Linked DNA regions of Pelodiscus sinensis. Each later gene encodes a partner of the first gene's protein in a complex. Links are inferred from orthologs where the notes say so. Each region holds a gene or a part of one and is shown in the gene's direction. Other genes may lie near its edges.

What was found.
Region 2: KAT6A (region 1) and BRPF3 share a complex: the UniProt entries of both Homo sapiens proteins name them as parts of the MOZ/MORF complex. The link is inferred for Pelodiscus sinensis from reciprocal best matches to the Homo sapiens genes KAT6A and BRPF3.

The regions. Positions count from the first base shown.
Region 1 is NW_027465860.1:507,816-522,960, forward strand, and holds the start of KAT6A (histone acetyltransferase KAT6A), read left to right. Parts: upstream 1-5,417; 5' UTR 5,418-5,564; intron 5,565-6,734; 5' UTR 6,735-7,059; coding exon 7,060-7,662; exon of another isoform or gene 7,663-7,757; intron 7,758-15,145. UniProt on the Homo sapiens protein: Histone acetyltransferase that acetylates lysine residues in histone H3 and histone H4 (in vitro). Component of the MOZ/MORF complex which has a histone H3 acetyltransferase activity. May act as a transcriptional coactivator for RUNX1 and RUNX2.
Region 2 is NC_134737.1:12,989,735-13,004,879, forward strand, and holds the start of BRPF3 (bromodomain and PHD finger-containing protein 3), read left to right. Parts: upstream 1-5,974; 5' UTR 5,975-6,114; intron 6,115-15,145. UniProt on the Homo sapiens protein: Scaffold subunit of various histone acetyltransferase (HAT) complexes, such as the MOZ/MORF and HBO1 complexes, which have a histone H3 acetyltransferase activity.

The DNA.
Region 1 (15,145 bases):
CCCACTCCTGTCCCGAGACCCCCCAAAGTCACCCCAACCTCACCAACCTCCCCCCACTCCTGTCCCCAGACCCCCCAAAGTCACCCCAACCTCCTCCACTCCTGTCCCGAGACCCCCCCAAAGTCACCCCAACCTCACCAACTTCCCCCCACTCCTGTCCCGAGACCCCCCAAAGTCACCCCAACCTCACCAACCTCCCCCACTCCTGTCCCGAGACCCCCCCAAAGTCACCCCAACCTCCCCCACTCCTGTCCCCAGATCCCCCAAAGTCACCCCAACCTCCCCCCACTCCTGTCCCGAGACCCCCTAAAGTCACCCCAACCTCCCCCCACTCCTGTCCCGAGACCCCCCAGTCACCCCAACCTCCCCCACTCCTGTCCCCAGACCCCCCCAAAGTCACCCCAACCTCCCCCACTCCTGTCCCCAGACCCCCCCAAAGTCACCCCAACCTCCCCCCACTCCTGTCCCGAGACCCCCCAAAGTCACCCCAACCTCCCCCACTCCTGTCCCCAGACCCCCCAACCTCCCCCCACTCCTGTCCCCAGACCCCCCCCAATCACCCCAACCTCCCCCCACTCCTGTCCCCAGACCCCCCCAAAGTCACCCCAACCTCCCCCCACTCCTGTCCCCAGACCCCCCCAGTCACCCCAACCTCCCCCCACTCCTGTCCCGAGACCCCCCCAAAGTCACCCCAACCTCCCCCACTCCTGTCCCCAGACCCCCCAAAGTCACCCCAACCTCCCCCACTCCTGTCCCGAGACCCCCCCAAAGTCACCCCAACCTCCCCCACTCCTGTCCCCAGACCCCCCCAAAGTCACCCCAACCTCCCCCACTCCTGTCCCCAGACCCCCCCAAAGTCACCCCAACCTCCCCCACTCCTGTCCCGAGACCCCCCCAGTCACCCCAACCTCCCCCCACTCCTGTCCCGAGACCCCCCCAGTCACCCCAACCTCCCCCACTCCTGTCCCGAGACCCCCCAAAGTCACCCCAACCTCCCCCACTCCTGTCCCGAGACCCCCCAAAGTCACCCCAACCTCCCCCCACTCCTGTCCCGAGACCCCCCCAGTCACCCCAACCTCCCCCACTCCTGTCCCCAGACCCCCCAACCTCCCCCACTCCTGTCCCCAGACCCCCCCAAAGTCACCCCAACCTCCCCCCACTCCTGTCCCGAGACCCCCCAAAGTCACCCCAACCTCCCCCACTCCTGTCCCGAGACCCCCCAAAGTCACCCCAACCTCCCCCACTCCTGTCCCCAGACCCCCCCAGTCACCCCAACCTCCCCCACTCCTGTCCCGAGACCCCCCCAAAGTCACCCCAACCTCCCCCACTCCTGTCCCGAGACCCCCCCAAAGTCACCCCAACCTCCCCCCACTCCTGTCCCCAGACCCCCCAAAGTCACCCCAACCTCCCCCACTCCTGTCCCGAGACCCCCCAAAGTCACCCCAACCTCCCCCACTCCTGTCCCCAGACCCCCCCAAAGTCACCCCAACCTCCCCCACTCCTGTCCCCAGACCCCCCCAAAGTCACCCCAACCTCCCCCACTCCTGTCCCCAGACCCCCCAAAGTCACCCCAACCTCCCCCACTCCTGTCCCCAGACCCCCCCAAAGTCACCCCAACCTCCCCCCACTCCTGTCCCGAGACCCCCCAAAGTCATCCCAACCTCCCCCACTCCTGTCCCGAGACCCCCCCAAAGTCACCCCAACCTCCCCCACTCCTGTCCCGAGACCCCCCCAAAGTCACCCCAACCTCCCCCACTCCTGTCCCCAGACCCCCCAAAGTCACCCCAACCTCCCCCACTCCTGTCCCCAGACCCCTCAAAGTCACCCCAACCTCCCCCACTCCTGTCCCGAGACCCCCCCAAAGTCACCCCAACCTCCCCCACTCCTGTCCCGAGACCCCCCCAAAGTCACCCCAACCTCCCCCACTCCTGTCCCGAGACCCCCCCAAAGTCACCCCAACCTCCCCCACTCCTGTCCCCAGACCCCCCAAAGTCACCCCAACCTCCCCCACTCCTGTCCCCAGACCCCCCAAAGTCACCCCAACCTCCCCCACTCCTGTCCCCAGACCCCCCAAAGTCACCCCAACCTCCCCCACTCCTGTCCCCAGACCCCCCAAAGTCACCCCAACCTCCCCCACTCCTGTCCCGAGACCCCCCCAAAGTCACCCCAACCTCCCCCCACTCCTGTCCCGAGACCCCCCCAAAGTCACCCCAACCTCCCCCACTCCTGTCCCCAGACCCCCCCAAAGTCACCCCAACCTCCCCCACTCCTGTCCCGAGACCCCCCCAAAGTCACCCCAACCTCCCCCACTCCTGTCCACAGACCCCCCCAAAGTCACCCCAACCTCCCCCACTCCTGTCCCCAGACCCCCCCAAAGTCACCCCAACCTCCCCCACTCCTGTCCCCAGACCCCCCCAAAGTCACCCCAACCTCCCCCCACTCCTGTCCCGAGACCCCCCAAAGTCACCCCAACCTCCCCCACTCCTGTCCCGAGACCCCCCCAAAGTCACCCCAACCTCCCCCACTCCTGTCCCGAGACCCCCCCAAAGTCATCCCAACCTCCCCCACTCCTGTCCCGAGACCCCCCAAAGTCACCCCAACCTCCCCCACTCCTGTCCCCAGACCCCCCAAAGTCACCCCAACCTCCCCCACTCCTGTCCCCAGACCCCCCAAAGTCACCCCAACCTCCCCCACTCCTGTCCCGAGACCCCCCCAAAGTCACCCCAACCTCCCCCACTCCTGTCCCGAGACCCCCCCAAAGTCACCCCAACCTCCCCCACTCCTGTCCCGAGACCCCCCAAAGTCACCCCAACCTCCCCCACTCCTGTCCCCAGACCCCTCAAAGTCATCCCAACCTCCCCCACTCCTGTCCCGAGACCCCCCAAAGTCACCCCAACCTCCCCCACTCCTGTCCCCAGACCCCCCAAAGTCACCCCAACCTCCCCCACTCCTGTCCCCAGACCCCTCAAAGTCACCCCAACCTCCCCCACTCCTGTCCCGAGACCCCCCAAAGTCACCCCAACCTCCCCCACTCCTGTCCCGAGACCCCCCCAAAGTCACCCCAACCTCCCCCACTCCTGTCCCCAGACCCCCCAAAGTCACCCCAACCTCCCCCACTCCTGTCCCCAGACCCCTCAAAGTCACCCCAACCTCCCCCACTCCTGTCCCGAGACCCCCCCAAAGTCACCCCAACCTCCCCCACTCCTGTCCCGAGACCCCCCCAAAGTCACCCCAACCTCCCCCACTCCTGTCCCGAGACCCCCCCAAAGTCACCCCAACCTCCCCCACTCCTGTCCCCAGACCCCCCAAAGTCACCCCAACCTCCCCCACTCCTGTCCCCAGACCCCCCAAAGTCACCCCAACCTCCCCCACTCCTGTCCCCAGACCCCTCAAAGTCATCCCAACCTCCCCCACTCCTGTCCCGAGACCCCCCAAAGTCACCCCAACCTCCCCCACTCCTGTCCCCAGACCCCCCAAAGTCACCCCAACCTCCCCCACTCCTGTCCCGAGACCCCCCCAAAGTCACCCCAACCTCCCCCACTCCTGTCCCGAGACCCCCCCAAAGTCACCCCAACCTCCCCCCACTCCTGTCCCGAGACCCCCCCAAAGTCACCCCAACCTCCCCCACTCCTGTCCCCAGACCCCCCCAAAGTCACCCCAACCTCCCCCACTCCTGTCCCGAGACCCCCCCAAAGTCACCCCAACCTCCCCCACTCCTGTCCACAGACCCCCCCAAAGTCACCCCAACCTCCCCCACTCCTGTCCCCAGACCCCCCCAAAGTCACCCCAACCTCCCCCACTCCTGTCCCCAGACCCCCCCAAAGTCACCCCAACCTCCCCCCACTCCTGTCCCGAGACCCCCCAAAGTCACCCCAACCTCCCCCACTCCTGTCCCGAGACCCCCCCAAAGTCACCCCAACCTCCCCCACTCCTGTCCCGAGACCCCCCCAAAGTCATCCCAACCTCCCCCACTCCTGTCCCGAGACCCCCCAAAGTCACCCCAACCTCCCCCACTCCTGTCCCCAGACCCCCCAAAGTCACCCCAACCTCCCCCACTCCTGTCCCCAGACCCCCCAAAGTCACCCCAACCTCCCCCACTCCTGTCCCGAGACCCCCCCAAAGTCACCCCAACCTCCCCCACTCCTGTCCCGAGACCCCCCCAAAGTCACCCCAACCTCCCCCACTCCTGTCCCGAGACCCCCCAAAGTCACCCCAACCTCCCCCACTCCTGTCCCCAGACCCCTCAAAGTCATCCCAACCTCCCCCACTCCTGTCCCGAGACCCCCCAAAGTCACCCCAACCTCCCCCACTCCTGTCCCCAGACCCCCCAAAGTCACCCCAACCTCCCCCACTCCTGTCCCCAGACCCCTCAAAGTCATCCCAACCTCCCCCACTCCTGTCCCGAGACCCCCCAAAGTCACCCCAACCTCCCCCACTCCTGTCCCCAGACCCCCCAAAGTCACCCCAACCTCCCCCACTCCTGTCCCGAGACCCCCCCAAAGTCACCCCAACCTCCCCCACTCCTGTCCCGAGACCCCCCCAAAGTCACCCCAACCTCCCCCCACTCCTGTCCCGAGACCCCCCCCAAAGTCACCCCAACGTCCCCCACTCCTGTCCCCAGACCCCCCCAAAGTCACCCCAACCTCCCCCACTCCTGTCCCGAGACCCCCCCAGTCACCCCAACCTCCCCCACTCCTGTCCCCAGACCCCCGTCACCCCAACCTCCCCCACTCCTGTCCCCAGACCCCCCCAAAGTCATCCCAACCTCCCCCACTCCTGTCCCGAGACCCCCCCAGTCACCCCAACCTCCCCCACTCCTGTCCCCAGACCCCCCCAAAGTCACCCCAACCTCCCCCACTCCTGTCCCGAGACCCCCCCAGTCACCCCAACCTCCCCCACTCCTGTCCCCAGACCCCCCAAAGTCACCCCAACCTCCCCCCACTCCTGTCCACAGACCCCCCCAAAGTCACCCCAACCTCCCCCACTCCTGTCCCCAGACCCCCCAAAGTCACCCCAACCTCCCCCCACTCCTGTCCCCAGACCCCCCCAAAGTCACCCCAACCTCCCCCACTCCTGTCCCCAGACCCCCCAAAGTCACCCCAACCTCCCCCACTCCTGTCCCCAGACCCCCGTCACCCCACCCTCCCCCACTCCTGTCCCCAGACCCCCCCAAAGTCACCCCAACCTCCCCCACTCCTGTCCCCAGACCCCCCCAGTCACCCCAACCTCCCCCACTCCTGTCCCCAGACCCCCGTCACCCCACCCTCCCCCACCCCTCTGCCCCAGAGCCCACCCACGTCCCCCCAACCCTCCTCACACCCTTCTGCCCCCAGAGACCCCTCCCCCCGACCCCTCACGCGCGCGGCGCTGCGCTCGGTGCGTCTCCCTGGCCCCGCGCAGCCCGGCTGTTCTCTCGGCGGGTCCCCCTCCCGCCGCAGGCTATTCCCCTCCGCCGCCCCCTCCCCCCGCCGCCGAGCGCCGGACCCAAGATGGCCGCCGTGTCAGTTTGGGGCTTCGCCGCCGTCCGGCCTCCGGCTCGCGCTTCGCGGCTCGCGCAGGCCCCGGTGAGTGGCGCGGCGCAGGCCGCTCGCGGCTGGGGGCCCGGCGGCGCGGGGGCCGCGGGCAGGCGGCAGGTCGGGCCCTGCCGCCCCGGGACGGGGAGGCCCGGCGGGTTCGCCAGGCCCCGCGGCCTGTTCCGGCCCCGCCGCCGCCGCTCTGCGCCAAGCCCGGCCTCGGCCCCGCCGCCCCGCCGCCGCGCCCACGGCAGGCCGCGGATGAGGCCGGTGGCGCGGGCCGCGGCGCTGGGCTGCGGCGGCTCGTGGCGCGGCTCCAGGGGGGCGGCGGCGCCGCGGGAAGCCGGGCCGGGCTGCTCGGTGCCCGGGAGCAGGGTCAGGCGCCCGGCGGGCGGGCGGGCGGGGCGGGAGCGGCTTGACAGGTGCAGGGGCGCTGCAGCGTGAGCCGGTGTCCCGGGGCCGCCCCCCGCCTGTCACAGCGGCCTGCCCTGCGGGGGGCGGCAGGGTCCCTGCCCGGGCCCAGGGATGGGGACTCGGAGGCATCGCAGCTGTCTGTGGTCCGCATCTCCCCTTGCATCTGCAGCAGCGAGTACAGCTCCTGTGTCAGGAACTCGCCTTCCCTGCAGATTTTGTGTTGAGCAGGGGTTCTAAACTTCTGCCTCAGTGTTAAGCGTATCCCGTCTGAGGGGGCTCCAGGGTCTGATTTGGGTGTTTTCAAATCCTTTGTTGCGTGCAAGTTCTCCCACACTTCCTAGAAAGCAGGGGATGAGAAGGAAGAGCTAGAGGTAATACGCTGACTAACTTCAAACTTCCTGGTATAAACTCTCTCCTATAAAAATGGTGGTTTGCAATAAACTGTTCACAACTCCTTGAATGTCAGTGTAAGAGGCAAAATGTACCTGGTGCCTGTGAGAGTCCTGTAGTTACTTTGTATTGAGAACTCAGGCTGATGTTTTCACTACAAAATTAAATGTGTTTGTTACATCAAGATAGCTATCATGATGTAAAATTCTATTGAAAATCAGGCACCAGATAGTTTTGTTTAAGTGAAGACATAGCCTAAGTATTATTTAAGCTTTGTTACAAAATGTGCTCTGAAACTTCAATGATGGATTAGAAGAATTTACTGTATTCTTGTATGTTTGTGAATATACAATCTAGATTGGAACACTTGTGACTGTCTTTGTGTGTGTGTGTGACTATTTTCTCATTTTCTTTCAGATTTAATGTTCCAATTTTTCTGATGTGAGATTGGAAATCCAAAATTGAGGTGACATGTGCTGAGTTCTGTGCAACTTTGTGAAAACCTTGCTCAAGAGCTGTTGGATTTATTGAGAGCATGAAGAAATTCCTAACAGACTATGTAATTTTTCTACTTTCAGTTGAAAAATATTAATGTTGGAAAAAGAGTTAATTCAGATTCAGAAATGTGTATGCTATGGTTAACTGGTTCCCATCCTCCAAAAATCTGTTTTCCCATGGTGTAAAGCTTATTCAGCATCGGGATAAAGGATAACGACTCTATGGATATACAGAATTCTTCACCATGGTAAAACTCGCTAACCCGCTGTATACGGAGTGGATTTTGGAGGCAATCAAAAAAGTGAAGAAGCAAAAACAGCGCCCTTCAGAGGAGCGGATATGCAATGCAGTATCTTCATCCCATGGTTTGGACCGAAAAACTGTCCTGGAACAACTAGAATTGAGTGTTAAAGATGGAACTATATTAAAAGTCTCCAACAAAGGTCTCAATTCCTACAAGGATCCTGATAATCCTGGGAGAATAGCACTTCCTAAACCTCGAAACCATGGAAAGTTGGATGGTAAACCAAACGTGGACTGGAATAAACTAATCAAACGAGCAATTGAGGGCTTGGCAGAGTCCAGTGGTTCATCCTTGAAGAATATTGAACGCTTTTTGAAAGGTCAGAAGGATGTGTCCACATTGTTTGGAGGTAGTGGTACCTCCATCTTTCACCAGCAATTGCGACTAGCTGTCAAGCGTGCTGTTGGCCATGGCAGACTCCTTAAAGATGGACCTTTGTACCAACTCAACACTAAAGCAGCCATCAATGCTGAGGGGAAAGAGAGCTGTGAGTCTCTTTCCTGTCTGCCTCCAGTGTCACTCCTTCCCCATGAAAAGGATAAGGTAAGAGCCAAGAATACACCAACATTTCCTTGGAACTGATGAAAAATGGTGATACAGGCTCAAAATTTGAGGTCACTCTCTTTAATATGTAACTGGTAAGTTGAAAATGGGCAAGAGACTTTAAGAACTGTGCGGCAAGTGAATGGTTCTGTTTTCTTCCAGTTTCTGAGCATGAACGCAGTTGGTATTTTGTGCCTGCCACTTGGACAGGTCAAATGGCAAACTAGGTAGTTCCCTTCCCAATATTCAGGGTGTGAAATTAAAGGGTTGGTCAGAGACTTCCTAACAACACAACTTTGAGTATGTATCATATTTTTAACTCCACTTATCAGTAGGAAAAGCAGGATAGAATCCTCTCACATTTTTAAATCAGATGGATTATAAAAAAGGACATAAGAACGGCCAAACTAGGTCAGACCAATGGTTCATCCAGCAGAAGCAGCCACTCTAGCTTGCCTGGAGGACTTCTCCTTTGCTGTTTTTCCAGGGTCAGCATGGGGCTTCGGGCCTAGTGCATCCCATCACATGTAGACATAAGGATGACCATACGGGGTCAGCCCAACAGTCCATCTAGCCCAGTATCCTGTCTGCCGACAGTAGCCAATACCTAATGCCCCAGGGGAAGGGAATACAACAGGAATTCCTCACGTGATCCCTCCCCTGTCACCCACCTCCGGAGAAACAGGCTAGGGACACCATTCCTACCCATCCTGGCTAATAGCCATTGATGGACCTAATCTCCATGAATCTATCTAGCTCTTTTTTGAGCCCTGTTAAAAGTTCTAGCCTTCACCTCATCCTCTGGCAAGGAGTTCCACAGGTTGACTTTGCATAGAGTGAAGAAAAACTTCCTTCTGTTTGTTTTAAACCTGCTGTTTATTAATTTCATTTGGTGACCCCTAGTTCTTATATTGTGGGAATAGTAAATAACTTTTCCTTATTAACTTTTTCCATACCAGTCATGATTTTATAGACCTGTATCATATCCCCTCCTTAGACTCCTCTTTTCTGAGATGAAAAGTCCCAGTCTTTTTAATCTCTCTTCATGAGACCCCTTCCAACTCCCTAATAATTTTTGTTGCCCTTTTTATGAACCTTTTCCAATGCCAAGATAACTTTTTTGGAGATGAGGCGACCACATATCATATTGTATGTGTAGTAGGGATTATATTTTCAAATGTGCATTACTTCACATTTATCAGCATTAAATTTAATTTGCCACTTTGTTGCCCACTCACTTAGTTTTGTGAGATCTGTTTGAAGCTCTTCGCAGTCTGCTTTGGTCTTAACTATCAAGAAAAATCAAGGTTTTTTTGTTTTGTTTGTTTGTTTCATTTGGCTACCAGCCCAATTCACTATGTTGGACGCAATTAATTATTTATTAATTATTTGTTTTGTGATAGCTGATTAGGACTTGTAGATGCTATCTGAGCCTTATTGTGCTAAGTGATTTCAACCCACATAATGAATGATAGTTCTTGTCTCAACAAATTTAGTTTTAGTTAATGAAAAGTCAGCAAGTCAATAGAACAAATGGGGGACAGGATGGAAGAAAAGGTAATAGAATGAACACTTTTTAAATGTATGTTACAGTACAAAATAATGTGGTTCCATTAGCATAAAGAAACGTGTATAGATTCATTTTAAAATGAAACACCTTTCTTCTGTATTATAATGTCTCCTCTTCTGTGCATATTTTTGGCATGTTTCTTTATATTCCTCTCCTTCTATAAGATTTTGGACCTCTCCAACTTCAAGATCAAGTTAGCAGAGTGAAATTGACACTGGTAGTTTCACTCTTGCCACTGTTTTACCACTGGGGAAGTTATGTCAACAAGTTTATTTTCAAGTAAAGGCAAGAGTTGCCAAGATAGGGGTCCCTTTGTACTGCAAGTCTCTGAAGCCTTCTGCAACAGTGTTGAAAGTAACTTTCTCTCATCCACACTACTGGCTAAATTATTTTCAACTCTGAGAGTAGAAGGTCTTGTTGCTGACATACTTTTGTTACTGATGAGATCTCAGTGCCCATCTAATTAGTTTCATGCTCCAGACAGGGTTCTTCCCCATTCTAACAAGCTTTGAGGCCTTGATGACATGAAGTTTCCTTTCTATAATTTCTCACTACGCAGCAAAGATCCAACAATGACTGTACAGGGGAGAGCACTATTGTAAACAGAACACTGTTACTTTCATCACTGTTGGACATAGACCTGCACTGAGTAGGATTAGAGGATTGCTTACTAGACCAGCATAGTTACAGCATTATGGTCATTGTATACACAAGCAGTAAAACCAATAGCAGCTGAACCGATGATAGTAACAGTGGGAAACCGTAGTATGCCTTAGGGTCTGCTCTCTGAGAGAACATCTATGCTCTGGAGGTGGTTGCATTTTAATACTGTGGCACTCATATGATCATTCACTGGGATTATTTCATGGCGGTGTCTTAAAATGAGGTTGTGTAAATGCAGTGAAGGAAAATATGGAATGCCACAAAACTTGTATCTTATTTCTTTGTCCACCACTATGTCCCTTAGATAAACCATGAACATTTCAATCAAGATTTTAAACAATTCCCAGGTCCCTTTGGAATTACATTCACTTCTTGTAACTGTTCAGATCTAGGATTTCTCCTGTAGCCTTTGCAGCCATGACAGAAAGTTCACATGGCCATGTACTGAAGAAAACGACAATGACCAATCCTGCTGACTTTTGCCATATTCCTTCTTGAACTCCACTCTGAATGTTTCTCTTCAAATACTCTTGACATATACTGCGTGATTCATGCTAAGTTTCTAGCTAGCTTCACAGATGTCATTGCTGCCTGTCAGGGTATGTTGTCTTGTTAGCACATCTTCAGAGTTCTTGCAGTTTTAATTGGTCTGCGGATCATGATATAGTTAAAGCCAGGAGGCATTTGCATGACTGGGACAGGCATCTAACTTTTTGCCTCCAATAGTAACAGATACAATAGATGCCAGCATGACAATCCTTTATTTGAATGTTGATGGTTGAGAGGGACATTTTTTGTTTGTTGCCCTTTTTTGTTTCGGTGAATTTGCTTTTTATTGTCAGCATTGGAGACTTGAATTCAGGGTTCTCACAGTCAGTTTACCTTAGGGCCAGTGTCAGTCCTAAAATTCTCCTGTTGGGCCTGTGGGTTCCCTTTCTGGCAGGGTTTGGGAGGGTTTCCGTGCATCTCTCCCCTCCTCACCCATGCACTTCCCAGCTCCGATGCCCCCGGGTGATTTAACCTCACCCCCGGGTGCTCCCAGCGTTACTACCAGCAGCGCAGTAGGTGCAGAGTGGCCTCCATCTGCTAACACTGTGCCACTGCTGCCACATTCCTGTGGCCCAAGGGAGGTGTGTGTAGAGTAAGTTCAGTGCAGCCACCCCAGGCTCTGTGTTTTGGGGGTCTCTGCGGCAGCTGCCTCAAGCATCCTGTGGACTGGAGGGCCCCCTGTATTCAGATTGGCCCACAGGGTCCTGGGCAGGCTGTTCCACAGGGACTTGCATGTGCACAACCATGTGTGGGCTGGATTGTGGAACTGCTCAGGCTGTAGATGACCTGCGGGCTGTGAGTTTGAGACCCCTGCTTTAGTTCCTTTATCCACAGAACAGGTGCAGTATGAATAATGGTAGTGCAGGGTTCCCCTTGTAATCTTTGAAAGAGACATAACGAGACCACCTCTGAAACTGAGTAGAGAGCTCAGTTGCCTTACCCAATTCAGGCCATAGATTTGATATAAAGAAATTCTCTTATCAGTTATAGGCAATTGGTTCTTGATTTTCATTTGCACTATTCAAGCTGAAAGAAATGCACACAGTAAATTGAATAAGATGTAAACTAGAAGACTTGAGGGACCTGAAGACCATAACTCAGACTATGTTGATACTGCAGATAAATACCCAGAGTTGACTGGTGCCAGCTGACTTGGGCTCTGGGGTCATTTATTTGTGTGTAGCTGTTCAGGCACAGCTGTGGGTATTTAACTGCAGTGTACAGCAAACTTCAAATAATCCGGCACCTTTAGGACCCAGGGGGTGCCGGATTATCAGATATGATGGACTATCAGAAGGGGGGGCTATGAGGGGTCTGGGGTGGGGTGGGGGGATGCTATCCCAGACCCCCTCATAGCCCCCCCTTCTGATAGTCCAGCTCTGCCCCAGGAGTCCCTGATTCAGCCGCTGCTGGTCAGTTTCAGCAGCGGCTGAATCGGGGGCACCTGCATCAGAACAGCTGGGGTGCTGCTGGGTTGGTCCGGTAGCGCCGACCCCTGGCGCAGCAAGACCAACCCGTCAGCACCCCAGCTGCTCTTGGGGACGCCTGGGGCAGAGCAGCTGGGGTACTTCTGGGTTGGTCCCGCAGCTCTGCTCCTTGGCGCTACTGGACCAACCCAGTAGCACCCGAGCTGCTCTGCCCCAGGTGTCCCCAAGTCAGCTGCTGCTGATACTGATCAGCGGCTGACTTCAGAAAGCCAGAGGCAGAGCTGCTCTGCCCCGGGCTTTCTGGAGTCAGCCACTGATCAGTATCAGCAGCGGCTGGATCAGGACACCTGGGGCAGAGCAGCTGGTAGGCTGCTGGGTTGGTCCCACAGCACCGAGGAGCGGCGCTACTGGACCAAACCAGCAGCACCCCAGCTGCTCTGCCCCAGGTGTCCCCAAGTCAGCTGCTGCTGAAACTTATCAGCGGCTGACTCCAGAAAGCCAGAGGCAGAGCTGCTCTGCCCCGGGCTTCCTGGAGTCAGCCCTGGTCAGTTTCAGCAGCGGCTGACTCGGACGCCTGGGACAGAGCAGCTGGGGCGCTGCTGGGTTGGTCTGGTAGCACCAAACCTTGGCGCTGCGGGGACCAACCCAGCAGCACCCCAGCTGCTCTGTTCCAGGTGTACCCAAGTCAGCTGCTGCTGAAACTGACCAGCCGCTGATTCTAGGAAGCTGGGGCAGAGCAGCTCTGTCTCCGGCTTCCTGGAGTCAGCCGCTGGTCAATTTCAGCAGCGGCTGAATCCGGGACAGCTGGGGTGCTGCTGGGTTGGTCCCGCAGCCCCGAGGGGCAGCGCTACTGGACCTACCCGGCAGCACTCCAGCTGTTCTGCCCCCTGCTTCCCGGATTCAGCGCTGGTCAGTTTTAGCAGCGGCTGAATCGGGGAAGCTGGGGGCAGAGCAGCTCCAATGGTCCGGCTGCCTGGAGCACTTCCGGGTTCCTGATGGTGCCGGACCATCAGGAGTGCTGGACCGTCAGATGCCGGACCATCGGAGTTTTACTGTATTACTCTTTGAATTTGAGGGCATGCTTAGTAGGAGTTGGCCTGAGATGCTATTTATTTCCATTATGAACCATGTGTGGTAACTTTCACCCACTGCTATTCTGGGCTGGATTTAAACTGGCAATCCAGATGTGACAGGCACAGTGTACTGTAATCAATCCTCTGAATCCCATCTAGGATTTTAGAAGTTTGTTCATTTATAAATCTAACATTTATTTGCAACAGTCAATCTAAAACCTATTTTCATAGTTTTTCTCAATGGAAACTTTCTCTCAATCTTTTATTATATTGAAATAAATGTTCAAAGTATCATACAGTCCAAGTTTTACTGTATTTAAATAAATGATCAAAATATCATATGGTTCAAGTTTAGCATCCTAAAGCAATATTTAGTTATCTGAGTAATGCTGGTCTGACTTTTGGGGATGCTGAGCAATAAGAGATGCTTCTGAAGTCAGTAAATGCTGCAGGCATTCAGTTTCTTTGATGAATGTACTATACTTATTAAGGTGCTTAAATGTGGATTTAGGAACCAAGTGTGGGTACTTGATTTAGAAAATGTTACATGGGGAATTTTTAAATGCACTTCCTTAATAATATTATAATATATGGAGATATACCATCTCATAGAGCTGGAAGGGACCTTGAGCGGTCAGTGAGTCCAGTCCCCTGCCCTTGCAGCAGGACTAACTACCATCCCTGACAGATTTGCCCCAGATCCCCAAATAGTCCCCACCTCAAGGATTGAACTCATAACTCTGGGTTTAGCAGGCCAGTGCTCAAACCTCTGAGCAATCCTGACCCCCCTTTCTTTTCAGTGCTATGGATAATGCTTTAAGTTAAAAACAGGAGACTTGACAAATCTAACACATTTTATGCAATTTATGCTGTTCATTTCTTTCAGATTGAACAGTGCAACTAAAAACCAAGAATCAATTGTCTATAACTGGTTTCTAGTAAATTTCACTTTCAGGTTCTGATGTTAAGTGTAGTTATATTGAGTTACAGATACTCCAGAGAAACACTTGTTTAAAAATGTTTCTAGTGACAGGTAAAGAGAACTTCTGAAAACTTGACATCAGTTTAGTAAAAGTTTTTCTTTGTGCAAAGTCTAATTTTTATGCCAAATTTTAATGAAGTATCTTTTTAATTCCACATTATACCATTCAAGGTAAGGAAAGATCCAAAACATAAACTTTGCCTTTAGAAATTAATGTAGTAGAAATATGCTCCCAACGGCAAAGTCTGAAGTCTTTCAGAAACATTATTTAGATTTTGAAACAGATTTTTGGGGCAGAATTCTTCATTGAGGTTTTGATCTCTCTGTATGATGATAGTTAATGATAGATAGCTTTAAGTTCTAAAGTGCTGTGGTTGCCCTCGTTGCTGTTCTCTGATAGTTAGACTGTATTTGTTGTTTATTTCTCTCTGCTTTAATCTATAGCTTCTGTGGTCCCTATTTTTTCTCTTTGGGGTAGATTTGTCCAGTAAGATGCAAGGAAAGGAATTTGGAGAGCAACAGGCTAAAATGTTCTGGGATAAATGGGGCTTGGTTGACCTGGCTGTTTTAAAGTTGTTTGAGTTATGACCTTATGGGTTTGTCCTACCTGTTTGCTGCTTTTTTTTTTTTAAACCTTCTATATCTGTGCAGTAATACTTTTATTTCTTTGTTTAACTTCAGGTGCAAAAGTTTCCAATTTTCTAGAAACAGGTTAATTTATCTTAAGGTCACGTGTTTGAGCTCTATGGTTAATTTATCTGAATTGTGAAACATAAACAGTAATTCATATCTAAGTAAGTTTGTATATATGAAGTATGTCTTGTGCACCATATTTAATGCTGGGATATTTCTAATACAGATATGCTAGTTTTTGAGATCCTGAATATGTTTGAAGAGGGAATTACAGTATTTCAAAAGAAAGTCTTTCCTCAAATCTCAAAATAAGCAACTTTGCACAAAAAAACAAAGAAAACCAAAAAAAACCCTAGAGATTTCTAATTTTTCTTGTCAAGGGAAGAAATTTCTTGGTTTGTATTCTAAGAACTTGAAGCGGGGTAAGTGTATTTAAAGGGACAATGCACATCTATGACCCTCTTTCTCAAACACATGCACACTCTGTATTTGTGTGTATTTCTCTGTCTCACACATATAGTATGTTTGCCTCTGTTTCATACACACACCCCTCCCTGGCACTGTGCAGCTATGTATGCACCATATG
Region 2 (15,145 bases), on another chromosome or scaffold:
GTAACTTGTTCATAACTCGGAGAGTGGCTGTATTCCCCTTTATTCGGCTCTGGTGAGGCCACATCTGGAGTACTGTGTCCAGTTCCGGGCCCCCCACTACAGAAAAGATGTGGATGCATTGGAGAGGGTCCAGCAGAGGGCAACCAAAATGATTAGGGGGCTGGAGCACATGACCTATGAGGAGAGGTTGAGGGATTTGGGTTTGTTTAGTCTGCAGAAGAGAAGAATGAGGGGGGATTTGAGAGCAGCCTTCCACTTCCTGAAGGGAGGTTCCAAAGAGGATGGAGAGAGGCTGTTCACAGTAGTGATGGATGGTAGAACAAGGAGCAATGGTCTCAAGTTGCAGTGAGGGAGGTCTAGGTTGGATATTAGGGAAAACTATTTCACTAGGAGGGTGGGGAAGCACTGGGATGGGTTCCCTAGGGAGGGGGTGGAATCTCCATCCCTAGAGGTGTTTAAGTCTCGGCTTGACAAATCCCTGTCTGGGTTGATTTAATTGGGATTGGTCCTGCCTTGGGCAGGGGGCTGGACTTGATGACCTCCTGAGGTCACTTCCAGCTCTATCATTCAGAGAAAGTGTGGCTTTTTTCCTTCTCACTTGTGTGGGCCCCCAACTGATTTTTCTATGGGCCAGTGGCCCCAAACCCAAAAAAGGTTCCCCACCACTAGGCTAGATGGCCCTCTGGTCTGACTCTTTGTTCTAAATTGATCTGTGAATAGTTACTTTGTTATTCTGTTAGAAAAATCAGTGGGAAAAGAAGAGGGTGTAGGGTAATTTTTTCTTCAAAAGGACCTGCTGCATTATTGGGATGAAGGGAGACAGAACTCCCTCTGTCTTGGAGACCACCTAAAAGTCATTTAATTTCCTTTTCATGTGGATCTTTGGAAAAAAAACATATAGTTGCCTGGAAAATGGGTTTTATTTTGTCCCATAGGATTAATCTTTTTTTCACATTTAAACTTTAAACATTCTAAGGATGTTCGTATATTCTTAATAGCCTGTGCTGGTTCAGCTAGTCACTGGGACTGACTCTGCTTGTTTCTACCTCAAAGGAACAAAACAAGTGGAAGAGGAGGATAGAAAAAAAGGAAAACAGTGAGCGTTCCACCCCCGAAAGAAATATTTATTGCATTAATGACAACTAAAAATACACTTCTCTAATATTTTCCATGCAATAATACTTTCCACTGGGATGTCGTGCTACAATAAATGGCACATCACTGGTGTCTTTGAGACCCCTCTGTTAAGAGGCAGTCCACAGTTAAGAATCTGTTCACTGGTATAATCAGACAAACGAAGGGGGAAAATTACTTGAGGTTATGTCTGCACAACAGGTTTAAGCACACTTTATTTAGAAGGATTGTCTGTCAGCATGATTTCAGGATAAGAGTTTCAGTATATACAGATGAACACATGGATGTAATATTTTAACAGAATACTTGTTCAAAGGGCCGTTTTCTGAGCATGTCAAGTTTGCGCATTTCTAATATGGCATAGCCAGTGCTGTTTCACATTCAATTCCATCAACATTTCTGTTGATTGATGACTGCTTTATTTTGAAAGGTCATATTTCTGCTGCTTTAAATCCTATTGCAAGTTTAGCATACTTGTATTTAGCCCTATTCTATTTTTGATTTCATGAAAGTGACCTAAATCCTTCAAACTCCTTTTTACAGAATTTTAGAAATGGAAGTCACAAAATTCAGACTTTTTTTGCAGACAAATTCAAGCTCAGAACAAACAGGTTTGGTTTAAAATAAAAATGTACATATTAATGTCAAAAAGATGTCTACAGGCATATACATTAATTAATTAGGCCCTGATCCTGTAAACTGCTCTGTGCAGGTGGATCTCCATGCATAAGCAAAGCCCTGTTGGGTGTGGGTTCTCAGATAGCACATGCAAGCCTTTAGAATGTCATTTTAAAAGTGTAACTTAACTGAGCATTCACATCTTCAGCTGGACATAAATGTGAGCTGTGTATATTAATCAACTCTGTATATCAAGCATTAATGTGTGCTGGTAGCTTTTAGCAATGGCAGTTTTAAGAACATTTTAAAAATGGCACATTTTAGTTGAGTAGTTGCTACTTATATTCATTTTCAGTTTTTTTATTTACCAATGTAACTGCACAGTTTCAACTCCAAATTGTAACTCTCCTCGTGTTTGAATACAAATGTGCTAGAATGAAGCTGAAGAAATTTATGATTTGGAACTGAAGGCGCACAGTTCTGCTTGATCTTCACTGCCTGTCGTTTTCCTTTGAAGAAGCAGCATTAGTTTTGAACTTGCACCCTTCAAAAACAGATAGAGAGACTAAATTGAATTAAAGTGTTCCTCTGGGACATTGAGATAAGTCTGAATGTTTTTAAAAATAACACATTAGTTCCACATATACACTGTAAAATTAAATGATGGAGAACCTGCTAATGCAAGGCCTCATCTTGCAACAGTTTATGGATATGCTTAACTTTATGCATATGAGTAGTTTTACTGCACTCCATGGGATTATTTACAAATTTGATATTAGATGTGTAAATCTGTGCAAGATTGGGGCCTAACCTTGTAAAGATACCAATCTCAGTGCAAGTCAGACTAAATCTACACAATGTGATTTGTCCTTTTCATAGGTGTTCATTTTTTTAATTGTATCCTTTGGTATATATGGTTGTGACTACTTTCTTCCACTATTTGATCTGAGGAAGTGGGTCTGGCCCACGAAAGCTCATCATCTAATAAACCATCTTGTTAGTCTTTAAAGTGCTACATTGTCCTGCATTTTGCTTCAGCTACCCCAGACTAACACGGCTACATTTCTATCACTAAATCTACGCTATGAGCTAGGGTGTGAGTCCCATCTCCAATACACACTCATACACACTCTCCTCTGAGCACACTAAAATAGTGTAGCTGTGATAGCATAGGCACTAGCGAACAGCAATACTTGATACCCTGTATACAAACTTGCCTGAACCCCTCTTGGAGAAGCTAGTCCATACTACCATGGCTCCATTACTATTTTTTAGTGTGCTAACTCACAAGACAGCTAGAAAAAGCATGTTATGAAAACTGGGGCTCACACCCCCAGTACATGATGTAGAAGTAGCCTAAGCGTCTGACTCTAAACCAGTGATGGACAACCTAGGCTAGTGAGTGGGACATAAGTGACCCTCCATCTCGGTGGGCTGCAAAATATTTGTAACCAAGATGGTCTCCTGTGCTAGTAGAATAGTGTAGTTTTGCTAATTGTTCATGTGTACCTAGCTTTTCTGGGTGTGCTGATTGAACCGTAGCAGCGCTTTGATTGGATGCAGAGGGAGCACATGGCTCTTACCGTCAATGTTGTGTGCAGTCATTACACACTTCACTTCATGTGCACTTGCATGTCACTTGAGTAATATCGTTAGGAAAAAACCTACATGGAACCAGAAGAATTTGAGAACGGGCAATGGTAAACAAAATGTCTTGTGAGTCACACACAGAACCCCAATGGGCCACAGATTGCCCACCACTGCTCTAAACACTCAGAAGTGAAACTATAGTAAAATGGTTAGTGCAAGTTTCACCACTGTATATGCTAAACTTATGCAAACACACACCAAAACCTTTGTCTGGAATGAAAATGAAGTTCTAACTTAAAAAAAGGGAAATGAGTTGATTTTATTTTTTACTAGTAAATAAAAGAGTCTTTTCTACCCTGCACCCCTGCTTCCAATATTTTAAACATTTGTTTTGTGAAGACTACTATGCTTTGTTATTAAGATTAGGCCATTAAATGTTAATTTTGGGCTCATTGTCATTCCACTAAAATTGATAGTTTTGTAACCTTTATTTCCACAGCTCCCATTGATGCACTGATCCAAGTGTAGCTTATAACCCAGCTTTTTACCGAAGAATTGTGAGTTCCAGCATGTTGCTGGGGTTTTTTTTTAAGAATGCATTGACCCAGGGCTTGGAAAAGAAAGTTGGCTTAAATTTTGCAGTTGATACGCTAAATCATGGATATCCTTTTCTATAACATTAAACAGTTTCCTTAAATTGGGGTCCTTGGATCATGAGTGCATTGCAAAGTTAAATGTCAGATGCTGCTACTCATATTCCACTGCTAATTCACAATAAAAGCTAAAACTCAGAATTGGTCAGAAAATGGAGGGGGGGGGAATCATGAAAATTTTCATTTCTATTTTATTGAAATGCAATCTATTTTGCAGTTAATTTTATAAACTAGTATCCCTGTATGGAATATACGCACAATCATTACTGGGTGATAGGATGTCCATGGGATACTTTTTATAGGGCGTACCATATATTAGAAATGTTTGGTCTACCTCTCCAACTTTCCAGCTCAATACCTATTTTCTCCTTTGCCCAAGCCTTAATTACTCTTACTCTCAGTGATGTTCTGGTGTTAACTCCCCAATACTTTAGGTGAATGTATAAACATTGCGCTACAAAATAGATGTGGATTGTACTGTTCGGACCATTTGTTTAATCTAGGTAACCTTAAGAAACAGAAAGGTTGGGAACAGGTGCACGTGGGAAGCTGAGCAGTCAGCACACAGAGCACAAAAATCAGGCTTGACCCGACAGCATATTTTGAGAGGAGTGGGAAGAGACACAACCCCAGGTTGTTGGGTAGCCATGTGGGAAGATAACTTGTCACACCCTAAGGCTGTCAATCAGTATATGGGGATTGTAGTGACATCTCCAGGCTGGAACACCCCCCTTCAGCTGTGAGGGTGTGAGGATACTTCCTGTCAGTAGATGAGAATGGGGTTCACCTACAAGGCTGCTCCCCAGCTTCAGAAAGCTGGAGAAGGGATACCCCAACCCCTCTCAAGATATGAGGTTAGGAGTCGTTGCCCTTCACTTTTTCACACTGGGGTGGGGGGGACCACACACCCCAGGCTGTACTCCTTCAGCACACCCACCTCCAGTGGGATATGAGGTGGTCATTCTCTCCCCCCCCCCCCCCACACACACTTCAACACACTGCAGGCAGGTCACACCCTAGTCTGCCCCTTTCAGCAGTGTAACCCTCCAGCTCAATATAAGGGGTAGGGGTCTCTCGCAGGCTGCCCCCCCCCTTCAGCACATGAGGCAGGGGAACCCCTAAGGGTTGCCCAGTAGAGGTAATGTCTGGGCTGCCCCCCCTTCAGCACACTGCAGGCAGAGGGGAACCCCCCAATTCAGCCCCGTGGAGGGGACTCCTAGGCTGCCCCCTTTCAATACGTCAGCCCCGTGGGGGGGCCCCCTTGAGCACACTTCAGGCAGAGGGGAACCCCCCAATTCAGCCCAGCGGGGGTGACTCCTAGGCTGCCCCCTTTCAATACGTCAGCCCAGTGGGGGGGTCACCCCCAGGCTGCCCCCCTTCAGCACACTGCAGGCAGAGGGGAACCCCCCAATTCAGCCCAGTGGGGGTGACTCCTAGGCTGCCCCCTTTCAATACGTCAGCCCCATGGGGGGCCCCCTTGAGCACACTTCAGGCAGAGGGGAACCCCCCCCATTCAGCCCAGTGGGGGTGACTCTAGGCTGCCCCCTTTCAATACATCAGCCCCGTGGGGGGGGGGGTCACCCCCAGGCCGCCCCCCTTCAGCGGCAGGGCACCCCCCCGTGGGGGAGGGGGCGCTCGAGGCGGGCAGTCTGCGCTCGGCTCCCCTCCCCCCCCAGAGGCCGCTGCCCCCGGGCCTCCCGCACTGTGGTGTCCGGGGAGGGGGGAGCGAGGGGGGGCGGTCCCTGCCTGTGGGGGGGAGCGAAGCTGCTGCAGCCCCCTCCCCCGCCCGCCCGCCGCGCTCGCTCGCTGCCTCCTTCCCTCTCCGCTCGGCCGGGCTGCGCTGCCGCCTCCATCTTGTCCCCCCCCCCCCCCCGCCGCCGCCTCTCGCCGCTTCCCCCCCCCCCCCCGCACCAGCAGCCGCGGCGGAGCGCGCGGGGCCCCCGGGCGCGGCAGCGGGGCCGGGCTCGGAGCCGCCGCGGCGGGGGGCGGCGCTGAGGCGGCAGCGGCGGAGCGGACCCGACCCAGCGGACATCTTGCCCCCCCCGCGCTGCGAGCTCCCCCCCCGCGGGAGCCGGAGCCGCCTCGGCCAGGCGGGAGGAGCAGGCGGCGGCGCGGCCAGGTAACGCGGGGCCCGGCGCGGGGGGGGGCGGGGGCCCGGGGGGCGGGCAGGGAGGGGGGTGGAGGGGGGGTGCGGCCGCCTCCGCGGCGCCTTGTGGCGGGGGCGGCAGGAGGGAGGGGTGGCTGGGGGGGAGCTGGGGCAACAACCCCCCCGCCATCTTGTCCCCCAGAACGGGGTGGCCCCGCCCACCTTCTCCCACGCCATTGGTCGAGGCGGGAGCGGGGCCCGCCCCTCGGTGCTTGACACAGGCGCCGCGCTCCCATTGGCCGCCGCGGGAGGATGGAACGCGGCAGCCGCCAATGGCGGCGGAGATCCGGCTCCCCGTGCTCCCATTGTGAGGGGAGGAGGGGCTTTCCCCGCTCAAGGGCTCGGGAATGCTGGAAAAACTACAAGCCAGCGCGCCCGCGGGCCTGGCGCAGCGCCCTGAGCCCCGCCCTGCCGGGGGGGGGCTGAGACCGGGCACAGCTCACTGCATGCACCGCCCTGCCAGGGACTGACCCCCTGTGCCTAGGGGGGGTGCTGAGACCGGGCACAGCTCACTGCATGCACCGCCCCCTGCCAGGGACTGACCCCCTGTGCCTAGGGGGGGTGCTGAGACCGGGCACAGCTCACTGCATGCACCGCCCTGCCAGGGACTGACCCCCTGTGCCTAGGGGGGGTGCTGAGACCGGGCACAGCTCACTGCATGTACCGCCCTGCCAGGAACTGACCCCCTGTGCCTAGGGGGGGTGCTGAGACCGGGCACAGCTCACTGCATGCACCGCCCTGCCAGGGACTGACCCCCTGTGCCTAGGGGGGGTGCTGAGACCGGGCACAGCTCACTGCATGCACCGCCCCCTGCCAGGGACTGACCCCCTGTGCCTAGGGGGGGTGCTGAGACCGGGCACAGCTCACTGCATGCACCGCCCTGCCAGGGACTGACCCCCTGTGCCTAGGGGGGGTGCTGAGACCGGGCACAGCTCACTGCATGCACCGCCCCCTGCCAGGGACTGACCCCCTGTGCCTAGGGGGGGTGCTGAGACCGGGCACAGCTCACTGCATGCACCGCCCTGCCAGGGACTGACCCCCTGTGCCTAGGGGGGGTGCTGAGACCGGGCACAGCTCACTGCATGTACCGCCCTGCCAGGAACTGACCCCCTGTGCCTAGGGGGGGTGCTGAGACCGGGCACAGCTCACTGCATGCACCGCCCTGCCAGGGACTGACCCCCTGTGCCTAGGGGGGGTGCTGAGACCGGGCACAGCTCACTGCATGCACCGCCCCCTGCCAGGGACTGACCCCCTGTGCCTAGGGGGGGTGCTGAGACCGGGCACAGCTCACTGCATGCACCGCCCTGCCAGGGACTGACCCCCTGTGCCTAGGGGGGGTGCTGAGACCGGGCACAGCTCACTGCATGCACCGCCCCCTGCCAGGGACTGACCCCCTGTGCCTAGGGGGGGTGCTGAGACCGGGCACAGCTCACTGCATGCACCGCCCCCTGCCAGGGACTGACCCCCTGTGCCTAGGGGGTGTGCTGAGACCGGGCACAGCTCACTGCATGTACCGCCCTGCCAGGAACTGACCCCCTGTGCCTAGGGGGGGGGGGTGCTGAGACCTGGCACAGCTCACTGCATGCACCGCCCTGCCAGGGACTGACCCCCTGTGCCTAGTGGGGGTGCTGAGACCGGGCACAGCTCACTGCATGCACCGCCCCCTGCCAGGGACTGACCCCCTGTGCCTAGGGGGGGTGCTGAGACCGGGCACAGCTCACTGCATGCACCGCCCTGCCAGGGACTGACCCCCTGTGCCTAGGGGGGGGGTGCTGAGACCGGGCACAGCTCACTGCATGCACCGCCCTGCCAGGGGCTGACCCCCTGTGCCTAGGGGGGGTGCTGAGACCGGGCACAGCTCACTGCATGCACCGCCCTGCCAGGGGCTGACCCCCTGTGCCTGGGGGGGGGGTGTGCTGAGACCTGGCACAGCTCACTGCATGCACCGCCCCCCTGCCAGGAACTGACCCCCTGTGCCTGGGGGGGGGGGGGGGTGCTGAGACCGGGCACAGCTCACTGCATGCACCGCCCCCCTGCCAGGAACTGACCCCCTGTGCCTGGGGGGGGGGGTGCTGAGACCTGGCACAGCTCACTGCATGCACCGCCCCCCTGCCAGGAACTGACCCCTGTGCCTAGGGGGGGTGCTGAGACCTGGCACAGCTCACTGCATGCACCCCCCCCCCTGCCAGGGGCTGCCATGGTTGGATAGGGGCTGGAGCCAGGCTGCCATGGCCATATGGGGGCTCGGGCACTGCAGCTGGGCCACCGTGGCCACATGGAGCTGGGGCACCACAGCCGTGGCTGAATGGGGATTTCAGTCTGTGGCAGGATCAGGGCTGGAGATGGGCCATCATGGCCAGATGGGAGCCAGAGTCCCCTGCCCCAACTTCTTCTTGTGGCAGGATCAGGACCAGGACCAGGATCCTGCAGCAGGAGCCAGGTCGGAACTGGACTGCCTATGGCAGGTCCAGGCTGGAGCCCAGCAGCCCTGGTTGGTTGGAGGGCACTACAGGTCCCTTGCTTGTTCGGCTTCCTTGAGCCCCTGTATGGCGCTAAATAGGCAACTGCACAGCTGCTCAACCATGCAGCTTACAGGAATCTGATGCTGAGGCCTGTCTTAACTCTCTGCGTGCATTATCACTGGCATGGTGGATACTTGATAAAATTGATGAGACTTGATAAAATTCACTGCATGCTCTGACCAGATCTAGGGCATGCAGCTGTACTGCTGAGCCTAGACACAGTTCCTTGTCTACTTCAGTCCAAGCCATCTGCAAATACAGTGTGTGTTTGTCCTTGGTAAAGAGTAGGACTTGGTTGACATGCGTCTGGTAGGTGCGTTCGTGGGCACTGTATAAGGCATGTGATTAGGTGGACAGGCATGGCTGGTGTTAAGTCTGGTTGCCATGAGAAAAGAATGCTGTATGGTGACAAGATGACGCAGAAGCGTGACTTGAAGGCATTGAGGATTATTTCTTTGTGGCATTTATTGATTTATTTATAGGTGCCCATCGAGTGCTCTGGAAAATTAAAAACCACAATATAGACTAACATAAACAAGGCACTTCCCATAACTGTAACTACATCAGAGGGGTAGTGTGTAACATTAAAAACAATTAAAAGTCCTGTGGCACCTTAAGCCAGGTCTACACTAGGAGAGCAGTTCAAATTAAGATACAAAACTCCAGCTATGTTAATTACTTAGCTGGAATCAAAGTACCTTAAATCGCTTTTTGGTGCCATCCACACAGCAGGAGGTCGACAGGAGCAAGTGCTCCTGTTGACTTCCCTTATGCCTCATAGGAACAGGACTGCTGGTGTTGATAGGAGCACCCTCTCAGTTGGAATTAACGTGTCTTCAGTAGGGATGTAAAAGAGTTGTTGATTAGTTGACTATTGGTGTCCCCCCCCCTGGCTGCCTTTATAGCAGAGGCAGCAAGAAGGGGGGAAGCAGGAGCTAGTGCTGGGAGGAGCCGGCTTAAAAGCCAGTTCCTCCCAGCACCCTCTCTGCAGTGCGGAAGGGATGGGGAAGGCAGAGGCGCAGCAGTCAGGGACCTGACGTGAGCCGGGGCTGCTGAGTCCCAGCTTGTGCCAGGTCCCAGACCTACCTCGCTGCGCCTCTGGGCAGCTCTTACTACATTTAAAAGGCAGAGCCGCAGCAGGTTAGGTCTGGGTCTCAGCAGCTTTGGCTCGCGCTGGATCTAAGACCTACCCCTGCTGCAGTTCTGCAGTTTAAATGTAATAGGAGCTGGGCTACCTGTGCCCCTGGCTCCTACTACATTTAAACTGCAGAGCCGCAGCAGAGCCGCTAATCGACTAATCGTGGACTCGCTTAGTATCAAGTACACAATTAGTCAGTTACCCGCTTCTTAACATCCTTAGTCTTCACTAGACCCGCTAATGCGAACCTCAGAAGATCGCAGAAGATCGACGTTGCCACCGTTGATCTTCCGCATGGTATAGACATGGCCTTAGAGACTAACATATATACAGGGCTCGACAAATCACTGAATCTACTTGCCTGTGTTGTGGTGAGTAGATATCAGCCGGTCGCCCCGTTCACCGGTGGTGCGCATATGTGCAATGCAGGTCTTGCGCATACGCAGTGCGGGGCTTGGGAGCAGATTTCACTGCCGTTTGTCAAGTCCTGCACATATATATATAGTATCATGAGCTTTCATGCGCAAATCCCACTTTTTCAGGTGAGATGATCTTGAGATCTCGAGGAAGTGGGTTTTGCCCATGAAAACTTGCCAGGTGTCTACACTGCACGTGCGTTCTTGTGCAAGTAAATTTACAGTAAAGCATCGGAAAACAGGGCTTCTTCCGGAAGAGTTATTCCTTTCCCCACACGGAATAAGCCTTCTTGCGCAAGAGCTCTTCCACAAGAGGGCAGTGTAGAAAGGCGACATGATTTTCTTGCGTAAGAAGCCCCTATGGCTAAAATGGCCATCAGAGCTTTCTTGTGCAAGAGAGTGTCCACACTGTCATGGACGCTCTTGCGCAAAAGCACATGGCAGTGTGGACGCGCTCTTGTGAAAGATTTTTTGCACAAGAATTCTTGTACAAACCAGTTCTTGCGCAAGAAGCCTTCAGTGTAGACGTAGCCTAAGGTCTACATTGCATTCCTCTTTCGATACAGGAATGCAAATGCAGCCAAGTGAAATTGCAAACGAAGAGCATATTTGAATTTCCTGTGCTTCATTTGTATAATGGCGTCCGGGCGCTGTTTCAAAATGCCCTATTTCAAAAAAAAACCCTCTGTGTAGATGGGGTTATTTAAAAAAACCACCCTTTTTTCGAAATAACCCTTACGCCTTAAAAAATGAGGTTTAAGGGTTATTTCGAAAGAAGGTTTTTTTTTTTCGAAATAGGGCATTTTGGAAAAGTGCCCAGACGCCATTATGCAAATGAAGCATGGAAAATTAAAATCCGTACTTCATTTGCAATTTCGCTCGGCTGCATTTGCATTCCTCTCTCGAAAGAGGAATGCAGTGTAGACACACCCTAAGGTGCTACAGGACTACTTGTTTTATAACTACATCAGTCTGTGTCTTTCTAAGCTGCTTTAGAAATAGTGAAAAAGTTGGGATTTTCATTGTACTCAGAAGGTTAACAGATCTGGGCTCTGGTGGATCAAGGTTGGGACTGAATTCTAAAACTGAGGCCCCTTCACAGAGAATGCCCTGAAACAGCTTCTTTTCTTTATGTCAAAGGCACAGCAGGTAAAAAACATCTTTGTTGGTCTCACTTCCAACACTCTGTCATGGAGAACAAGGCATCTCTCAGGTAACCAGGTCCCAAACCAATCAGGGCTTTGTAGGCAAAGCCAACACTTTGAATTCCACCTGGAAGCTTATTGGAGGTCAGTTCTGATCATAGGGTGCTGATTAAATGTGTTCCCACTGTGCAACTCCGCTTAATCAGTGGGCTGCAGGATTCTGCAGAGCTGCAGTGTCTGAATGGTCTGAGCATGCAACCCCACAGAGAGCACATTCCAGCAGTCTTATCTTTGTGGCATGGAAAATTGCAGCAGACTCCATTCGCAGGGAAAATGTCGCACTGACTTGCAGGTGTAGTGCCCGCTTGGCCCCATCTGCTACTTTGGGTGGTCCAGAGCAGCTCAGGATATAACAGCCTCAAGTGGAGCCCATGTCTTGCACTTTGTGGATATTGGGTGCTAAAATAAGACCCCTAAACAATCCCAGCTGCTTCCTGCAGCCCACCAACATTATCTCAGTCTTGTCTGGGTTGGATTGCACCAGCTAATACTCACTCCAGTCCCAAGTTCATCTAAGCACAGAGAATGTGTTTAGCTGCTGTCTCTTGGTCACACCTGATAGAGAGGTAGGGCTGTGTCTCTTCAGTGTATTGAATACAGTGCAGCCCATGTCACCTCCCTTACCCTCTTTGAGGAGTGTCTCATACGCACTAGGGATGTGAAGGTTTAACCAGTTAAACTTCATTTCTTGAGCGTGGCGCTGAAACATGGGCGATCTTGATCCAAGTGGATGCAGCTTCTCCACTGATGTTCACCTGCCAGCTGTTTCAAGCGTCCAGATTTTGGGTTGTAACCCGAAGCTGACCTAAAGGCTACGGCTACACTGTAGCCTTCTTCCAGAAAAGCTTATGCAAATGAAGCGCAGCGTGGAATATCGCCGTGTTTCATTTGCATGATTAATTAGCAGCTGCTTTTGTGCAAGAGGCTTTTTCACAGAAAGGAGCTGTGTAGACAGCTCCTTTTTGCGCAAAAACCCTCTCTTGCACAAGAGCCGTTCCTCGTTCCTTGCGCAAAAGCGGCTACTAATTAATTATGCAAATGAAGTGTGGTGATTTTCCACGACTCACTTCATTTGCATAAGCTTTTCCAGAAGAAAGCTACAATGTAGCCGTAGCCAAAGTCTCCACAATCTCAGCAAGCAATACTGGTCGCGCCACCGCTGAAGAGGCAGGGGTATGGGCCCTCTTAAGACAGGATAACCCAGTGCAAACAAAATTGCTCACGTTTGGAAAGTAACGTGGAAACTTTTCAAGAGAAACTCAAGTTGGCATCCGAGTGGAGGCAATGAGGATTCACCAAGCTGTCAGTGTCACTTGGAACAGATTTGCTGTGCGAGACATTGCAGATGCTATGGTGGAAGCGAGGAAACATTTCTTAGCACAGCCATGGTATATGATCTTAAGAGCTGTGCATGCAACAGTCACTCAGGCTCAGTTTTAGACTTCTGCTTCCAGTGCTTTGGCACTCTCCCTTTTTGCTTGGCCTGTGACAGTTCACCAAAGTAATTTGGGAAGCCAAAGATAACAGAGAGAGAGGGGGCCTTTAGGGGTCACTGTCAGTGTGGAGGAAAAAGATTGTTATAAAGTCTCACTCGGCTACAAACAGAGTGGTCTGTTGGAAGAGCAGCCTTCTGCCTCAAAACCTGGAAACTCACTAGTTCCATCAGCCTCTAGGGTAGTGCGTGTCAATCTGTTTACCATTGTGGACTGTATATGCAACTCTCTGTGTGTTATGTGGGCCGCATCCACACTGCTGATTGGTCCACAGACAGCCCATGGGTTTAGAACCGCTGCTCTAGGGCAAACCATCATCATCCCAGTGGGATGGCACGTCTTGATCTCAAATTGAAGGAGCCTGCGGTTGTCCCGTGACAGAGGAAATTCTAACCCAGCAACAGGCAACCTAGGCATGTGTGCTGCATGAGTGGCCTTCCCTCATCTCAGCGGGCTTGGAAGTTTGTTGCAACCAAGACGGTCTCCCGGGATAGGGTAGTTTTCTGAACCATGCTTGTGTATCTAGATTTGCGGATGGTGCCGACTGAACCACAGCAGCACTTCGGTTGGATGCAAAGGCTCTCACAGTCTATGTAGTGTGCAATCAGCCTGCACCTCGCTTCACATGCCCTTGCTTTATGTGTGTGTCACTTTAGTAACACTGGTGGGGAAAAACCTACACGGTTGGAAACCAGCAGAATCTGACAACCCTGCGTGTGGGCAACAGTAAAAAAAAATGTCTTGAAGGCTGCACATAGGACCCCAAAATGAGTCGCATGTGGCCTATGAGCTGCAGGCTGCCCTCCGCTGTCGTAGCCTCTTCCCCCCAGCTGCAAGATCCAGGGTGTCCTTATGAATGGAGCTTGCAATTATGTAGGGCAGTTTTCTTGGCATGATATTCTGGAATGAGCCAGAAAAACCCTCCTCTGAGGGGATATTGAAATTATAGAGCATCATCAGTAACTCTCGTGCATGGGTTCCCAAACTGGGGGGCGTGCCCCCTGAGGGGGCATAAAGAAATTCCAGGGAGGGTGCGAAGTGACCCAGCCTCCCCCCCATCAAGTTTTGCTGCCCTGTTCAGTTCCTTTTTTCCTTTTTTTTTTTTTTGTTCAACAAGTTTTGCTGCTATTTGGGGGAAGGGCCTGAGGGTTTTTCAAAAATCAAAAAGCCAAAAAGTTTGGGAACCACTGCTCTCCTGCCATTGTGATAAGGAACTTGATCTTCCCACAGAGGATTTCTGGATCAGCATAGAGCAGCTCCACACCCAAGCTGTTGGAATCCCCTCCCAGAACTCATGCATCAGCTTCTAGGCTCAGATCTTACTGTAGTAGGGGAGATGCATTTGAGGTCAAATGCAATAAGCAACCTCACCTCTTCTTTGGTACCTTTTTGTTTCATGCTGAGCCGATCAGCTGGAATCAAATGTGCCAGCACTAATCCTGCCATGCCGTTCACTCTCTGCATACAAAGTCGGGGGCCTCATCTGTTATTGAATCCTGGATGATACTAATTTCTTTAGCCACTGACCCTGTATTGAATAGCACGGAGGCTGCTGTTGCTTTTGTTCACCAATGCCTTTTTCTCCTGAGCATGATTATTTGGTGTAACCAAAGGAACCAGAGTGTGACATCTTGGCTTTGATTTACAGTCAGCGCTTGGTGTTTCCTTTTTGCCTGCTCTTCCCCTGCTCACCAACACAAGAATTAAGGGGTCTAAGCTCTCAGAGTCTGTGCTGGCCTGGAGCCCCCCTATCCTCAGCTGATGACAGGATTGTGCAACCTTATCGGCCAGCCTGAGACATTTATCAGAGGGAACAGATGTCCAGATTAGAACCTCTCAAAGGCAGGACCCAAATTTGTCATAAAACATAACTCCTCCCAGGACACCGTTCTGTTTTCCGTGATGCACCCACTCAGATGGCACCCGTACGCACTGTGGAGCACCCTGGTACTCCACCCCCACTCATTGAAGGCCTCTCACTCCATGACATCCATTCTTAAACCAACTTAATTCTCTCCACATCAGCCAATCCAATCATATAGGCATAACACACAATGCTGTTTCATGCATTTGACCTCCCCCTCCATTACACAATTCATACAGGTCTGTGTTCTTTTCAGTCCTGCTGGATAGAGGTGGTGGATCAGACCTTCATGAGTAGCTCTGCGGGGCGAGGGAGGGGCAGCATCAGGCTGCAGGTGGACGAAGAGGAGAAAGTGGCTGACATGTA